Coturnix japonica: one gene and its partner. The protein of the gene in region 1 interacts with the protein of each later gene in a pairwise test. Links are inferred from orthologs where the notes say so. Each region holds a gene or a part of one and is shown on either strand. Other genes may lie near its edges.

The links. The genes of interacting proteins can lie anywhere in the genome.
Region 2: the proteins of LMO2 (region 1) and PRKG1 interact in binary tests that used the Homo sapiens proteins (3 or more experiments, as listed by UniProt). The two-hybrid records come from large-scale screens. The link is inferred for Coturnix japonica from reciprocal best matches to the Homo sapiens genes LMO2 and PRKG1.

What each region holds. Positions count from the first base shown.
Region 1 is NC_029520.1:6,397,801-6,402,635, reverse strand, and holds the start of LMO2 (rhombotin-2), read right to left. Parts: upstream 2,990-4,835; 5' UTR 2,758-2,989; coding exon 2,751-2,757; intron 2,671-2,750; coding exon 2,493-2,670; intron 1-2,492. UniProt on the Homo sapiens protein: Acts with TAL1/SCL to regulate red blood cell development. Also acts with LDB1 to maintain erythroid precursors in an immature state.
Region 2 is NC_029521.1:5,668,426-5,673,145, forward strand, and holds the start of PRKG1 (cGMP-dependent protein kinase 1), read right to left. Parts: upstream 3,051-4,720; 5' UTR 2,923-3,050; coding exon 2,612-2,922; intron 1-2,611. UniProt on the Homo sapiens protein: Serine/threonine protein kinase that acts as a key mediator of the nitric oxide (NO)/cGMP signaling pathway. GMP binding activates PRKG1, which phosphorylates serines and threonines on many cellular proteins.

The DNA of each region.
Region 1 (4,835 bases):
TTAACATGGGGCTCAATCCACGCAGTTCTTAAAAATACATACATTTCAAACAACACAATTTTCATGTGATTGAAGACTGCACTTTTTCAGACACTTATTTAAAAAAGGTGCCTGGATTCTCTATGGAAACACTGGTCAGGTCCTTACGGGCTGACCAACAACCACATTCCTACAAGTTCTGACTATATCCTGTTTTCCAGTAATCCTGTTTTGACACAACACATAGCCAGGCTTCAGTTTCCATTCAAAATAAACCCCTTTTATTTTTTCCCCCAGTATTTTTAAGATTTACCTATAAATGCCTGTATGAACTCAGACGACATCTTGATCTACCTCTAACTTACTGAAGAGCCCCATAGAGCAGTTATGCATGCACCCCAAAGCACACAAGCCCATCGTGTAGACTTGGAGCTTTGAGCTTTGACTGTAGTTCTGCTTGGGAGCAAAGGCTATTCTGCCTCACAGAGGACTGTTGGATTAGAAAAGGTACCTGAGGGATTCTACATGTAGCCAGCTTTCCTCTGGGGAATGTAAATTTGAAGACTAATTCTGTGGATATTATTTCACTGAGCAGCATTAAATAAATAACTACAACAGATGTGGCTGCTGCCAAGCTGGTTTATGCTTTGCTGCTGCTTTGAATGAAGCCTGGATTTTATACGATGCTCAAAACCTAAAAGGAAGGCATGTGAGCTCAGTTCTGCAGTGACACAGACCCTCATCCAGACTCCAGTGAAGCTCGTAAGAAGACTTTGGGATCAGTCCTTTAGCACCTGTATCATTTCAGCCCTCTGCTAGTGGAAAGGAAATTACAGGTTTGCACCTTTAGGTTTATCTGCTTTACTGGACCATGACCAAAGTGCTCAACAGGAGGCAGAGCAGAACCTCAGACTGTTTGGGGTTCTCAGTCCACCAGTGCCATATCTCTGCCCTTGGCAGCACAGAGACATGCCGAAGGCAGAACTGGGCTGCTCTGGGATTCCAGCAGGCAACAGGAGAAATCCTATAACTGCTGCCACAAGGAGACCCATACAGTGTTTTTAGCGGGTTAGCAGTTTTCTAGGGAAAAATGACTTAGAACAAGGTGGAGAAATGACCACTGCTCAACAACTTCTGTGCTATGAAACTGATCCTTGTAGCTCTCATGAGCTGAGCCCTGGGATGTGATGAGACAAGACGCTCAGCCCACTGCTTTCCCAGTGCTCAAGCTGCTGGGCCCCAGCGGTGCTCCCCAGGCTCTGTGAGCTCTCATTGAAACTCCAGACAGTGTGGGCTGTGAAAGGAGCAGGCCCTGCTTCTTCCAAGCTTTCTCAGTTGAGCCCCAGAGTTCCTTTCCTAGAGACTGGGCTCTGCATGCCACCCAACAGAGAGTGCAGCTGCAAGGGAATACACCTTAGTGTCCCTTATTGGACATTATGCAAAACCTGAGATTGCAGCCCCAAAATATTTTGGTCTCGCAGGTTCTGGGAATCACAAGGCAGCTCTCTAACAGCCCCACACATTTCTGAGGAACAGAATTTCTTTCTTCTTCATCACTTCACCACATATTTGCATGCCAGAGAAGTCAGTAGGACACTGAGCAGGAAAGCAAATAAATTCTACTAAAGCACTGCAGTGCAAAGTGGGACACTGACACCCAGGAGTTCAGATGCTGATTTCTCAAAGATGATAGAAGAAAAAACGTAGCACGCAAAACATCAAACACAACACAGCAGGAATTGATTTAACCCACAGTGGGGATGGTTCCCCTGTGCACACTCACAGCTACAAGAGACGGCACTTGAATATCTCGCAGGGAACAAACCGCGGACGACCAAACTTAACTAAGAGCGATGTTTTAAGTGCTATCTGAAACAGGAGATTTTCTTTCTTTCTCTCTTATCACGATTCCAAAGGGGTGTAACTGCAGCTACGAAGGCACGCAGCGCTGTTTCACGCACAGTCGCCCCAGTCAAGGACGGTGAATGTCCGGGAAGGCTGCACAGAACCGGCTGCAGGACAGGACCTGCGGCTCGGCCCCTTCCACGAACATGAAAAACGGGGAAGGGAATTCTCACCACCTGCACCGTGGGGTCCCTCTGCACGCCTTTTGCGCAACACCTCCCCCAGCAAAGACCTTGAAAGTTACAAAGCGCCTCGCGTTGTGCAAATGTGGAAGTCGGGCACCCACAGATAACAGCTCCGACCTTTCGGTATAATCGGCTAAGAGCGCGGGGCAGGTCCGGGGACCCCAAACGACAACCGCTTTCAGCTTGGGCGAGAGCCCCGCAGCGGGTCCCGCAACCCAGGGGCGGCTGGAGGCGCCCGGCCCGGAGCTGCGCCCGCAGCCGCCTCCCAATGGGGCTGTCCAGCACTCGTGCTCCGGCCCCAGAGACCCCCACCGGAGAGGGGTCCCCGTGACAGCGGAGGGGAGCGCGGGGCCGGCAGGCTGCCGTCGGTGGCACCGCGAGGAACGGAGGGGTGGGGAGACAGGGAGAAAAAGAGCCACTTACTCGGAAGGATCGAGGCTCTTCCTCTCGATGGCCGATGACATTGGCAGGGATGGCTCCTTTGTAGCGTGCCTGTGGTGCGATCTGCCCCCGCTGCCCCCGCAAAGGCCGTCTGCTCTCGACGCCTTGTCACCGGCCGCGCTCCCCCTCCGCCCCCCAATGACATTCACAGGATTTCCTCCTGCAACACCAAAGAGAGACACAAACGCGGGCTGGGGCGGCTGCCGGGCTCCGGCGGCGGGGCTGCCCGCGGGCTCTAACCTCCCATCCTCGCCGCGCTCCTCCTGCGCTCCGTGCGCCGGGGCCGCCCCCCCGGCTGCGGCTCTGCGGGCGGGCGGGGGGCGACTACCGCGGCCACCGCTGTCTGCCCGCCGCTCTCCGGTGCCTGCCCGGCCGCGGTTCTCAGCTCGCCCCGCGGAGCCGGGCGGGTGCTGCGGCCGGGGAGCTCGGCATCGCTATTAGTGCTGAGCGGCGCGGCCCCGGCTCTCCGGTTTCATTTCCTTTTTCCTGATCACGATTCAAATACAATAGAAGGAAATCACGCTTAAAGAGACAGCTGCCCGTTTCTTAACTGGACTCCTGGGGGTTTAGCAACACAAACAACGGCATCACGACTCGCTCGGTTTCTTAAAGGGACAGAGCTCGGGCTCCCCGCAGCCGGAGCTGCGAGCTGACGCTGCGTTTTCACATCGCGACGTCACGGATCAGAACCGCACCGCTGCGCGGGGCTCCCGGAGAAGTGCTCGACCCGAAAGCATCCGAAGGGCTGAGGGAAACCTCGGCCGGCTCCGAGCTGCCGGCACCCCAGTCCCACAAGGGATCACAGCGGGTCACGCTCCCTCTCCTCGTCCTCCCCAGCAATACACACGCACATGCCCACGCCACGCACGTTTCGACCGGCACCTGGAGATCAGGAGCTGGGTCAGAACTCGAGCTCTGTTTTCTACCTAGAGCACAAATCGGTCAACTAATCTGTGCTTCCTTTGTATCCCGCTGTGTCCCTGAGTTACTGGTCACTCGTGTCTGCTTCCAGATGCCCCCGAGTTCTCGGTAAGCACTATAACAAATTTATATCTTGATGCTGTTTGGTGTTAATGAGCTATAAAAGCTCGTGAGCACAGTATTGATCCATAATGAATCACACGAAAGCTAAAGGTGGGCAACTCTTGCCCGAATGTCTCTATTTCCACTCCCATCCTTCCTCCCCCTCCTCTCCATCAGCACAGCACGTCCCGGAAAGAGCTGATTTACAGGGCTAGAGTGAAAACTATTACAGTGGTTATAGCATTTTCCCAGTCTGTGTGGCATGAGATCAGGGTGGCTGCTGGAGGCAGAGCCTTGGCTGAAATGAGCCACTCGCCCCACTAATTCCTTCAGAAACAGTAAGAAAAGATCAGCAGTAAAGCGCTAGCAGAAGCATTTAGCTTCTATATTAATTCCCAGAACAGAAAAACATTTGATGTCTATTTTTATGAGTACATTTTAATTTTTTCATCTTTTTGGCACCGGGGTTATAATATCTGAAATACATTAATGAGCCTGAGCCAAAGATTAGTAACGTCAGCAGAAGGGTTGTTATTCATTTCAAGGGCTTTGAACTGAGTTCTTGCAATGCTTTAGAGCCATCACTGGTCATTAGAATACATCTTATTCTTTAAAAGAGTTATCTCCAATGTATTTTAAGCCGTTACAGTATGGCAGCTGTTCTCACAACCAAATGTTCCTGTCACAGTGCAGCTCCTTTGCCAGGTTTCATGGACAGAACGATGAACATTTCATTTCTTTTACTGGCTTTAAAGGTGTGTCAAAAACAACCACCTTCAAACATAGTTGGTGTGTGTGTGTGTGTGTGTGTGTGTGTGTGAAGGCAAAACAGTATGGGGAGAGCTAGTAGGAGCAAATAAATCAATCTCCTGATGCATAACCACAAACAGTGCTTCTCCACCATGCTTAGTGGGACAGTGCTTGAGCTCAGTCTGCTTAAACAAAGAGCAATGGGGATTAATGTTACAGTACCTTGAATAAACTTGCACAGCAAAGGCACCAGGCAGTGCTTAGCCCTGCGCATCAAGAGGCAGCGTCCTGTCCTGATGGGGAGTACAAAGTTAAACTGCTCTTGGGTTTTCCTGAATGTAATTTCTCAAGAACCTTCTCTCCAGGTTTCTGGGCTGGCCTCGGCTGTCGATTTCCACTGGATTCACCGTAAAAAAAGAAAAACAAACAACACAAAACAAAACAGCAAGAGCCATCTCTTCTAACACCTTCAGGGAACAAAAGTATGCTCTTTGGGGGGGGACATTTCGGTTTCAGCTCTCACTTTAGACAGTGAATCTTGGCATGCCCACT
Region 2 (4,720 bases), on another chromosome or scaffold:
GCTTTGCAAGGCATAAAGCCTGAGGTGTGAGTCACATGAGTGCTCCTATGCATAGGAAAGCCCCATCCACCACCAGCAGCACGTTGCTGCTGCCAAACCTGGCCTGTCAAAACAGAGGAAAGCAGCATTTGACTGACTCGCATTCTGCACTGTCCTTGACACACCGCATGTAAAACTGCTGTCAGGAAGCATATAATCCTCTGCAATGGAAACTCATCCCTGCAAAGTGTGACGCTCTGCTCTCCGAGCTGCTCTGGGAGGGGAAGACAAGCAGGTGGGATGCCAGAAGAGCCAGAAGAACAGACAACTCATGAGGCAGCTCTGCAGGGCTGCCCTGGCCCACCTCACAAGTAGGACCAGGTTGCTGGGTGGGCATCAGGCCCCACGTACCCAGAGCAGCAGCTTAAGCATGAAGCAGCAGAACCAGGCACACAGATTCCTCCTCAGAACAATGTTCAACTACTTTCAGATTGAATCAGCATTCTATCACGTAAGATATAAAAGCAGTTCCAGCAGTTCATTACTTAATCATAAACGAATTTCAATTGGTGGCTGGACACATCACACGGAATTCCAGTTTCAAACAGAATTAAAATGAAAGGTTGCATCACCCTTGCCTGTTTACATCCATGGCTGCTGACAGCCTTTGCAGCACGATAGCAAAACCCCCTTGCGACATAACTAAAGAGGCCACCAGTCCTCTCCTGATCTCACAGCTCCTGCCCTACATTTCAGGAAGCAATCACTCCAGAGCGGTTGTCTCCCTCTCAGATCACAGGTTATCAATCTCTGGTTTGACCGGTTGGACGATGTTGCAACCATTGTCTGGATTATTTTAGAAAAAGGAAAGCGTGGGCTTTATGAAGAGGGGCTGATGGTTCCTCTAGGGCCACTCCTAGGTACCACAGAATAGATACAATTTATAAGTATCAGCAAATTATTTTATGTTCTAAATAAACAGGAAAGCAAACAAAGGTTACATCTCACTGAACAGCTGGGCCGTTCCTCACTCAGAATGTAACTCTTCAGTCTGCAGCTTTGGAAAACCTTAATTGAAATAAGTGCTGATACAAACTTTGTCTCACGGCATTACTTCAATGCTGGCGGGCTGTTAGCAGGCAGAACATATCCCGTGAGAGGTCAAAGGTGTGGAAAAACAAACAGAGCAGCAATCCCAGGAGATGGAGGGGAGATAAAGATTTGTCATTGCATTTCTCAAGCAGAGAAAAACACCCAGACATCTCTGTGGTCTTTACCCACTTACTGCAGCCACTTCTGGCAACCTCTGCGATGGGAGAAATAAAAGCTACTTCAGACAACTTCTTTTCTAGTTACCCTGCAAACAAAGGCTGACAAAGGTGCCGCTCCTGATGCTGGGATTAGATGATCTTAGAGGTCTTTTCCAACCTTAATGATCCTGTGAAAGGTCAGATATGTCTCACTAGTCTCATAACTCAGAAGGAATCAGCAGAATGTGTCCTTCTGCATATTTGAGTCATAAACTCTCCATGTGAACACGTGCACAGAGGTGCAAGAAAACCCATTATTTGGGTATTAATGATCCCAATAAACTAGGCCAGGTGCAATTCCTCAGTCTCCCAAGCACAGACACCACTAACAGCAGCTCATCTGGATTCTCATCATAAGCACTCCTGGTGAGCGGAACATACAGCTTACTTTTAAACAGGGATATCTTCCTTTCCGTTTAGATGCTCCTACTGAAAACACTCAGCAGTGCCGTGCCCCATGGACTCAGTAAGTGGCTGAAACAACCACAGACCTAGCACTGCCTCACAGGTATCAGGCCATCTGATCCACCTCAGCGATCCAGGTGTGCAGCAGCAACTTAGCTCAGAGCACTGGAAATGGCACAAGGGGACCACGCATCTAATACTGCCCATGGGAGGTTAAAACCAAGCACTGCTTCAGACAGTGCACTGCACTGGTTGGTGTGCACTGTGGCTGAGGAAGAGGCAGCCCCATCCCAAAGGCACACAGGTGTGCTGGCAGCACGGAGCAGCGCCTTACCCCGCCTCAGCTGCCCGGCACCGGGGGGGGGGGGGGGTACTCAGCAGCCGCCCCCCCCCGGCTTCCTGGGGTGTCTGGGGGCATTTTGCGGGTCTACCACAGTTCCTCCCCGCCGCCGGGCTGAGCCGCAGCCGTTCTCCTTAAAAGGGCAAAATATCTGCGGAGAAACGGCGGCGGGAAGGGGGAGTCGGGAAGAGGGTCCCGGGGCGGCGGCGGGGCCGGGCGATGGCCGCCCTTCCCTCCCTCCATCCATCCTCGCGGGGCGGTTGCCAGGAGACGGCGGGGCAGCGCAGGGCAGGGCAGGGCGGCCGGGTACCGCCGTGCCGGGGCAGCGATGGGGAGCGGCCGGAGCGCGACAGCGGCGCGGCTCCGCTGTGTTGGAGAGCAAGGGGTCCGGGGCCGCTCGGCGGCAGGAAGCGGCGCTCGCCAGGTGCCACACGTGGCCGCGTCCCGGAGCCGAGGGGCCACTAAAGAGCTGCGGTACCGATGGAAAGAAGCCCCGAGGATGGCAGCCGCCCCGGCCCCTCCCGCAGCCCCGCCGCTCGCAACTTTCCCACCGGGCAGGCGGCCGGGCGCTGCTTACTGCGGGCTCTTGGGGTAGAAGGGGAGCGTGACGTGGCTGAGGTCCTGGATGTCGAAGGCGGTGGGCTCGGCCGAGATCGCCTGCCGCTTGGTCCGCTGCTCGCCCTGCAGGCTGCGGGCGCTCTGCTGCTGCGCCTGCCGCGTGGCGGGCCGGATCACCGAGCGGTACTTGTCCAGCTCGTTCTGCAGCTTCTGGATCAGCTCGTCCTTCTGGTCCAGCTCCAGCTCCAGCTCGTCGATCAGCGCATCCCGCTGCCGCAGCTCCTCGATCTTCTCCTGCAGCGCGTACTGTAAATCCCGCAACGTGCCCATGCTCCCGCTCAGCCCCGAGCCTCTCCCGGCAACTTTCCACCGGGAGCCGCCCGACGTTCGGCCCAACTTCCCCGCGCCCCTCCGGCCCGGGGCCCCTCGGCCGGCCCGCCCCCTCCCCCCCGGCGGCCCCGGAGCCGGCTGGCGCGGGGCGCTCCCGATCCGCCTGCGCCCGGCGAGGCTGCGAGGCTGCGGGAGGCAGCTCACACGCGCTGGCGGGCGGGCGGCGGGGCGGAGGGAGGCGGCGGGCGGGCGGGCAGGGGCGAACGCGCCGAGGCTGTGCTGCCTGATGGGGCCGGGGGGCAGCTCCGGGGGCTGCGGGGGGAGCCCCCGCCGGGCCACCCCCCCCTTCCCCTCCCCGGCCTCCGCTGGCAGGGGGAGGCAGCCCGGAGAGCCCGGCCCCGGGGCGGCAGCGGCTGGGCGGGTCCCCGCCTGGCGGCGGGCGCTCACCTCTAACCGAGCGTTGGGGCTGACGCTGAGCCCTCCCCTCGTACTTTTCTTTATTAATAAACTGGTGAATCGGGGCTTTCTGCTCCCGGTGGCACGGCTCCCGCAGCCAGGCTGTTTCAATGGGGATAGCGGCCAAGCGGCTGTGCTGGAACGAGCCCGGTCGGTGGGGCGTGTGAGGCTCAGTGCACTAAGACAAGTTGAAGTCAGGGCAGTAGGTTCCACGTAGCCCCATTGCTTCAACAGAAGCTGCCTTCTGCCGTCCCGAACCCAGCAGGGTTTATTCAACCGCTGCGCTGCAGGGCTCTGCCCGTGCCGTGCTGTTTATGGGGCTGTCACACAAAAACAACAAATCGAGGAGCCACGTTGGTACCATTGCATGGAAGGAACGGAGCTGCGCACCACGACAGCACAGCTCTTAGCCCCCAGGCCTGGACGAGGAACGGCAGCTGCTCCATGTTCAGCTCTGCTGTTTGAAAGGGCCTGGGCTCTACTCACAAACCTGGAGCACATACTCGGTACCTCCTGCCTCTTGCAAGATGCACGTGCAAAAATGCTGCTTCTTGACACTCCTGTGTCCCTGTCTGTTTTCATGGGTTGCCACCCCGCTTTAAGTTCAGGCAGTGCTTTCTGTACAGCCCCTCCACTGCAACCTTCTGTAACTCCCCGGGAACAAAAGTACCAAATATCTTCTGAACGTTTCCATTTATAAATATGACCGGTGTTAAATAGATGCACATGTGCTGCCTGCAAACTAGAAGTCAATGATAAACAAAGATAATGTAATAGCATCAAGCCAGTGTGCTTACAATCTTGCTGTTTTCCTTCCCCCAGAAGCGATTTGTCCCCCTGGACCAGGAAGATGTGATACAGTTTGCATGTGATACAGTTTGCATGTGATACAGTTTGCTGAAGCCCACCAGGCTCCCGGAGAACAACAGCCCTAAGGGAAACTCATGCATAATTTCTCAATGACAAGCAGCAAAACCACGCTGCTCAGTTATTACTGGAGGTGCACAGCCTGCAACTGAGCCAACATTACAGAGATAAGAAAGGATGCAGAGGAAAAACATGAGACATTATGAGAAATAAAACTGGCATGGAATTTAAATATACGTGAAGGAAATCTTGGTTTACAGGTGGAAGACAAGTTTGCATAAGGCCTAGAGGAAAGACTGTAGGGCTCGATTTTAGATCTGTGCCTATAACCAATAAACTCATGTCTGGTCTTCCCTGGTTGCCAGAGAGTGAAGCACCCTATAGACCTTCTCAAGCTGCCAGCTGAGCTCTGCTACCCGAAGGCAGCAGCAGGTTGCCTGTTTTTGGCAAGGAACCCCTCAGGTAGGTGTTACCA